Macaca mulatta: one gene and its partner. Each later gene encodes a partner of the first gene's protein in a complex. Links are inferred from orthologs where the notes say so. Each region holds a gene or a part of one and is shown on either strand. Other genes may lie near its edges.

What was found. Proteins that work in one complex are often made in the same cells at the same time.
Region 2: the proteins of LRP6 (region 1) and SOST are in contact, whole or in part, in a crystal structure (PDB 6L6R), measured with the Homo sapiens proteins. The link is inferred for Macaca mulatta from reciprocal best matches to the Homo sapiens genes LRP6 and SOST. Residues at the interface, in NP_001401174.1 of Homo sapiens: Arg28, Asp52, Val70, Ser71, Glu73, Leu95, Ser96, Asp98, Glu115, Arg141, Trp157, Trp183, Asn185, Ala201, His226, Phe228, Trp242, Met269, Arg336, His361, Asp379, His404, Asp406, Thr422, Glu447, Arg449, Trp465, Trp491, Asn493, His534; in NP_079513.1 of Homo sapiens: Leu115, Pro116, Asn117, Ala118, Ile119, Gly120, Arg121, Arg169, Thr171, Arg172, His174, Asn175, Gln176, Ser177.

Annotation. Positions count from the first base shown.
Region 1 is NC_133416.1:14,578,238-14,581,854, reverse strand, and holds part of LRP6 (low-density lipoprotein receptor-related protein 6), read left to right. Parts: intron 1-2,906; coding exon 2,907-3,109; intron 3,110-3,617. UniProt on the Homo sapiens protein: Component of the Wnt-Fzd-LRP5-LRP6 complex that triggers beta-catenin signaling through inducing aggregation of receptor-ligand complexes into ribosome-sized signalosomes.
Region 2 is NC_133421.1:68,105,385-68,109,430, reverse strand, and holds the start of SOST (sclerostin precursor), read left to right. Parts: upstream 1-1,192; 5' UTR 1,193-1,210; coding exon 1,211-1,430; intron 1,431-4,046. UniProt on the Homo sapiens protein: Negative regulator of bone growth that acts through inhibition of Wnt signaling and bone formation.

The DNA.
Region 1 (3,617 bases):
GGTACAGTCATACATGATAGGCTTGGCCTTCTAGTTTATTCTATTCTTAAACAGGAGCAACACCTTTGTCTAAGCTACCGGTGAACACATATGCCTTCAGAAGAGAACTGAAAAGCTCCCTCCTATGTACACATCTCATCCTCCAGCTTCTCTGATGTCTTCATTGTGGGAATGCAAGACTCAGACAACCAGATGAGGTCGTTGTTAAAGCACCATTCTGAAGGAAATGTGGGAGAGGTGGTTAAAGTTTACATAAATTTGATAGGGTGGATTTAGGCTTTTAAAATGGCATATTCGTTGTCATTTTAAGCACTTACTGACTTGAAAATAGGTCAGAATATTGGCTGCCTTTTAGAAATAACCAGTAAATTTGTAATTTTTAATATATTTGAGTAGATTTTTTGGAACAGGCATTTATTTGGAGCCACATGTGGCTTTATCTTAATCCACATTACTAGAACAACAAGATCCACAACTAATGTGGAATCTTATTGAAGGTTAAAATTTTACTTGGAAAAGAGAATACCCAGCAAAATATCCTAGGAGCCAAATATGTATTTGATTAATTGCTTCCCAGGCAAGAAAATGTGGGAACTAAAACTCTGGGATCTTTCTTCTAAGTCTTTTAAACAGAAGGGGGTCTTGCTGTGTTGTTCAGGCTGGTCTTGAACTCCCAGCCGCAAGTGATCCTACTGCCTCAGCCTCCCAAAGGGCTAGTATTACAGGCATGAGCCACTGTGCCCAGCCAATTTAGAACCTTTAACATTTTTTTTTTTTGCTTTACTAAGAAAGTAGTACTGCCAAAATATTCTTCTAAAATAAAAATTATAGTGGGAGACTTTTTAGCTATTCTGTGTGATGTGTTTTTACTACTTGAAGCATGGACTCCACAAAAAATTGCTAAAAGTTGTTAAATCAATGTATTAGTATGATGGACTCCAGATAATGGAGATTTGTAGTAGGATCATTGGGATAACTTTCTAAATCTTCCAAGCTGAATGTGGGTTTTAAACTAATGAACTTAAAGCAGAATTACAGTTTTGTAAATACCAAGTTTCTTTGTGAGTACTGATTTCCTTTGGGTTTTAAGCCAGTATTCATTGAGTGTAAATGTAAAATAAGCTGAGAGACCACTAATAATGGAGCTGTGAAGAATGGGGAATAGGAGGAAATAAAGCAAGAAGTTGTGGCTTGACTATTTATGTTTTATATTCCTGAGAAGGACAAAATTCTCCTGGATTTAGGTATTGTCTGTGAAATGTATACAGATATTTTAATGAAGATTTTAAAAATGGCATTAGACTTTGAAGTTGTTGTAATCTCTCAGAAGTCATTCTTGGCCGAGCATGGTGGCTCACACCTGTAATCCCAGCACTTTGGGAGGCCAAGGTGGGTAGATCTTGAGGTCAGGAGTTCGAGACCAGCCTGGCCAACATGGTGAAACTTTGTCTCTACTAAAAATACAAAAATTAGCTGGGCATGGTGGTGGGCGCCTGTAATCCCAGCTACTCAGAAGGCTGAGGCAGGAGAATCGCTTGAACCCAGGAGGTGGAGGCTGCAGTGAGCCAAGATCGCGCCACTGCATTAGTTCATTTTCATACTGTTGATAAAGACATACTGGAAACTGGGAACAAAAAGAGGTTTAATTGGACCTAACAGTTCCACATGGCTGGGGAGGCCTCAGAATTGTGGTGGGAGGCAAAAGGCACTTATTTCCTGGCAGCGGCAAGAGACAAATGAGAAAGAAGCAAAAGTGGAAACCCCTTTAGATCTCGTGAGACTTATTCACTATTATGAGACTAGCACAGGAAAGACTGGCCCCCATGATTCAGTTACCTCCCCCTGGGTCCCTCTCACAACACATGGGAATTGTGGGAGTACAATTCGAGATTTGGGTGGGGACACAGCCAAACCATATCATAAAGCATCTATTATTATTAGTTTTTGTAATTTTTACCTGCTCTCTTTCCATGCCGTCATCACATACACAAAAAACAAAATGATATCTGCAATCCATGAAGGTTCAATGCCTGTTAATACCAAGTTTATTACTGCTACTACTGGTAATAAATAATTATTTTAAATTTATGGCTGGGCACAGTGGCTCTGCCTGTAATCCCAGCAGTTTGGGAGGGAGGCCGAGGTGGGAGGATTGCTTGAGCCCAGGAGTTCGAGACCAGCCTGGGCAACATGGCGAGACCCCATCTCTATTAATATTTATAAATAATTTTTAAATTATTAAAAACATATTAAAATTTACATTTATATAGTGCCTTACAGTTTTTAAAGTATTTTCATATACGTTGTAAAATTCTCATAGTAACTCAGTGAGAGGGACAAGATGGCTATGACTTTTATTTTACTGCTGAGTAAACTTTGGCCTAGTGAGGCTCAGTGACTTACTTCAGATCAAATGAGAAGGCTGAGACCAAAATCAACCTTCTTTTTTTTTTTTCCCTTGAGATGGGTCTTGCCCTGTCATGTGTAAAATCAGTCTAGAAGTTTCTGCTTTAATTTATATAAGCCCAGGCTTCCTGCCATCTACCAGACAGAATAGGTTAAGGGTTATTCACTTGGTAGACCAGGAGAATTTTGTGTATTTTTATCAAATACCTCATGGAAATGAAGTGTTCTGTGGTATCTCTGTGGACAGGATGGAGAAATATAGGGTAGGTGGCTGTGTCATTCATTAGGTAAGTTCGTAACTGATTTGGTAACCAGGGAGCTGATTAGTGTTACTCTGAAGAGAGTTTCTGAGGGCATGCCACAGAATTTTGTCCCCAGCCTTAGCTCTTCAATATCTGTGTCTGTTTTGTATGAAATACATACAACAGGCTGATCAAATCATTGATGATAGAGGATATAGGGTAACTAGATTTCAGATTTTCTCTTTTCTTCCTTTTAAGCTCCTACCACTTTCCTGCTCTTCAGTCAGAAGAGTGCCATCAACCGCATGGTGATTGATGAACAACAGAGCCCCGACATCATCCTTCCCATCCACAGCCTTCGGAATGTCCGGGCCATTGACTATGACCCTCTGGACAAGCAACTCTATTGGATTGACTCACGACAAAACATGATCCGAAAGGCACAAGAAGATGGCAGCCAGGTAATTGAGAGCGTGGTTCAAAATTCATTTCTCCTGACTAATAATTGGACTCACCAACCATTCTGTTTCACTTAAGTCTTGACTCTGCTTAAGTGTGTTTGTATGTGTTTATGAAACTGAAAATCTGAACCTAGTAACTTATTTTTTCCTTCTGACGATATTTTGAGTAAGCAATTGTTTGATGATGATATTATGATGAAAATTGTTAGGCTTACTTAAGCTGTTATATCGGTAATGGCTTTGTGACTGCCCCCTACATTTCTTTATGAAGCCTTTTTCCTTACATTTCTCTTTGTATAGAGTTTATTAGAAGCCTTGAAATAGGCCTTGGTTCTGATTCCAGCTCTATCCCTCACTTAGAATTCTTACGAACTTTTTTAGCTGAAAAGAATGCAAAGCACATAGCTCTTATGTGTTATTTAACAGGAACTCTACAGTTACATTACTAATTATTATTTAAAAGGTTCAGAGGATATGGAACATGTAACACAATCTCAGTAAGGTTAAA
Region 2 (4,046 bases), on another chromosome or scaffold:
CCCTCCTTTCTCTTCTGGCACCTCAGGTGTGAACCTTTCTCCCCCATGCCTCTACCGGCCCTCCCCTCCCTGCCGCCCCGGCCCTGTGCCGCTTATTATATGCAGGGCCAATAAGGCAATTTCTTCTAGCTTCTTTGTGACCAGTCGGTCCTGGGATGGCTTCATGGAACACATCCTGTGGTGTGCACCAATGAAGCTCTCCATACAGGACTCAAAAATGTTTTTGAAAAATGTAACCAGCTGGAAGACAAGAAAATAAAATGTCAGCACTAAAAACGCTGGCTGTGGCTTTTGCTAAGGAAAGGAATTTGGTGTTGTCTGCTTGCACGCACAGCCTGGTTGGGGAAATGACTGTCTTCAGTATATCACCCTGCGAGCCACAGTGAGTGCCCTGGCTCGGAAGTGCCTGTCACGGTGCACAGGATCCCCGAGGAGCATGAGCTGGGATTTCCTCTGTGCTCTCCATCACAGGAGCCTGAGTGACCAGCGCATCCTCGGTTTGTAACCAGAATCCTGCCCCATCTCCCAAGTGGGCACCCTTGCTCTGGCCCTCTAGTTCTCTCTCTTGCCTTCCGGAGAATGCCAAGAGAGGCTTTCTTAGGTCAATCAATGCTGAGACTTGTGAAGTTAGGACGGATGGGATTTCTTTAAAAGCATCATTTTGCCTCTAGCTGGGTCTATGGAGGTCAGACACCCCTTGGGCCATTTGTTGGTGGGGTGACAAATGAACTTGGCCTGAGAAATGGAGTAGGCTGGGCTCAGCCCCACGAAGCACTCGGAACTGCACATTCTCTTTGTTGAGCGGGTCCACAGTTTGTTTTGAGAATGCCTGAGGGCCCAGGGAGACAGACAATTAAAAGCCGGAGCTCATTTTGATATCTGAAAACCACAGCCGCCAGCACGTGGGAGGTGCCGGAGAGCAGGCTTGGGCCCTGCCTCACACGCCCCCTCTCTCTGGGTCACCTGGGAGTGCCAGCAGCAATTTGGAAGTTTGCTGAGCTAGAGGAGAAGTCTTTGGCGAGGGTTTGCTCTGAGCACACCCCTTTCCCTCCCCCCCGGGGGGGCTGAGGGAAACATGGGACCAGCCCTGCCCCAGCCTGTCCTCATTGGCTGGCATGAGGCAGAGGGGGGCTTTAAAAAGGCGACCGTGTCCGCTGGAGACCAGAGCCTGTGCTACTGGAAGGCTGCGTGCCCTCCTCTGGCTGGCACCATGCAGCTCCCACTAGCCCTGTGTCTTGTCTGCCTGCTGGTACACGCAGCCTTCCGTGTAGTGGAGGGCCAGGGGTGGCAGGCCTTCAAGAATGATGCCACGGAAATCATCCCTGAGCTCGGAGAGTACCCCGAGCCTCCACCGGAGCTGGAGAACAACAAGACCATGAACCGGGCGGAGAACGGAGGGCGGCCTCCCCACCACCCCTTTGAGACCAAAGGTATGGGGTGGTGGAGAGAATTCTCAGTAAAAGGTCCTGGGGAGGTTTTAGAAACTTCTCTTTGGGAGGCTTTGGGAAGACTGGGTAGACCCAGTGAAGATTGTTGGCCTCTGCCAGCACTGGTCAAGGAACAGTCTTGCCTGGAGATGGGGGAAGGATGGCTCACTGGTGCAGCCTTCTAATTCAGGTGCAGGGGCATGAGGCAACAGACACTGGTGAGAGCCCAGGGCAGGGAGGAGGCTGGGGTGGTGAGGGTATGGCATCAGGTTATCAGAACAGGCTCCGGGGCTCAGAAAAGAAAAGGTTTCAAAGAATCTCCTGCTGGGAACATAGGAGCCACGTCCAGCTGCTGGTACCATTGGGGAGGGAACAAGGTAAGGGAGCCTCCCATCCACAGAACAGCACCTGCAGGGTGCCAGACACTCTATGCTGGCGGTGGCTGTCTCCATGACACAGACCCATGTCATGGAAGCCCCAGGAGGTGAACCCCCAGCTTGAAGGGGAAGAAACAGGCTCCACGCACTCAGTAACTTGGTAGTGAGGAGAAGAGCTGAGGTTTGAATCTGGTTTGATCAACTGCAAGATAGCCCTGGTGTGTGGGGGGGGGTGTTGGGGATAGATCTCCACAAAGTAGTGGGAGAGGAAGGCCAGAGAGGCACCCCTGCAGTGTGCATTGCCCATGGCCTGCCCAGGGAGCTGGCACTTGAAGGAATGAGAGTTTTCCGCAGTTTTAGCCCCTGACATGGGTGCAGCTGAGTTCAGGCCCTGGAGGGGAAGACAGCATCCTCTGCGCAGGAGTAGGCACATCCGTCCTCAGTGGCCACCCCATTCCCAGCCTTGCCTCATTCCAGGGGAGGGAGAAGGAAGAGGGACCCTGGGTTCCTGGTCAGGCCTGCACAGAGAAGCCCAGGTGACAGTGTGCATCTGGCTGTATGGTTGGCAGGAATCACGAGGCCGTGGGTGGGGGCTGGAATGACACTTCAGACTGAGGGCTTCCCTGCCCTCTGGCCATTATCCAGGTGGCAGAGAAGTCCACTGCCCAGGCTCCTGGACCCCAGCCCTCCCTGCCTCATAACCTGTTGGGGCTATGGGGTGCTAAAAAGGGCAACTGTATGGGAGGCCAGCCAGGACCCTGTGTCTTCCAAATGGAGGACAAGGGTGCCTCCTCCCACAGCTCCCCTTCTAGGCAAGGTCAGCTGGGCTCCCGTGACCTCCTGAAGGGCTGTAAGGAACCCAAACACAAAATGTCCACCCTGCTGGACTCCCATGAGAGGCCACAGCCCCCAAGGAAGCCACGTGCTCAAAACAAAGTCACAGTCTGCAGAGGAAGTGCCTGACTTGGGGCACTATTCTTGGAAAGCCCCAAAATGCCCCCTTCCCTGGGCAAATGTCCCCCCGACCACACACACACCCCAGCTCTGCAGAGGTGAGGATGCAAACCAGACCACAAACCAGAAAGCAGCCCCAGACAATGGCAGTGGCCACATCTCTCCTGCTGTGCTTGCTCTCCAGAGTGGGGGTGGGGAGCAGCCTTCACTGTCCCCTCTCTGGTTTGGTCTTAAGACTATTTTTCATTCTTTCGTGTCACATTGGAACTATCCCCATGAAACCTTTGCGGGGTGGACTGGTACTCACACGACCATCTATTTAAAAAGCTCCCACCCATCTAAGTCCACCATAGGAGACATGGTCAAGGTGTGTGCAGGGGATCAGGCCAGGCCTGGGAGCCCCATCTCTGCCTGCCCAGGGAGTATCACCACGAGGTGCCCATTCAGATAACACAGAACAAGAAATGTGCCCAGCAGAGAGCCAGGTAAATGTTTGTGGCAGCTGAACCTGTAGATTTTGGGTCAGAGCTCAGTCCCCCTATGGTAGGAAAGTAACTAGAGTGAAAAACAGCCCTCGGCTCCATCCCCCAGCCCAGCCTCCCATGGGTGCTCGAACACAGAGCCTCCACTCTTGTGGGAGCCAAAAGGTGCTGGGACCCCAGGGAAGTGGAGTCTGGAGATGCAGCCCAGTCTTTTGGGCAAGTTCTTTTCTCTGGCGGGGCCTCAGTATTCTCATTGATAATGAGGGGGTTGGACACACTGCCTTTGATTCCTTTCAAGTCTAATGAATTCCTGTCCTGATCACCTCCCCTTCAGTCCCTCGCCACCACAGCAGCTGCCCTGATTTATTACCTTCAATTAACCTCTACTCCTTTCTCCATCTCCTGTTCACCCCTCCCAAGTGGCTGGAAAAGGAATTTGGGAGAAGCCAGAGCCAGGCAGAAGGTGTGCCGAGCACTTACCCTGCCCAGGCCAGGGACCCTGTGGCACAAGTGTGGCTTAAATCATAAGAGGACCCCAGGAGAGAAATGATAATAGTAATATATAACAGCCGACGCTTTCAGCTATATCTGCCAAATGGTATTCTCTGCATTGCGTGTGGAATGGATTAACTCACAGTGCTTGGGGCGGCCCATTTTACAGACTGGAAGAAGAGAGAGATTAAGGAACTTGCCCAAGATGACACCAGCAGTGAGCGATGGAGCCCTGGTGTTTGAACCCCAACAGTCATTTGGCTCCGAGGGGACAGGGTGCGCAGGAGAGCTTTCCACGAGCTCTAGAGCATCTG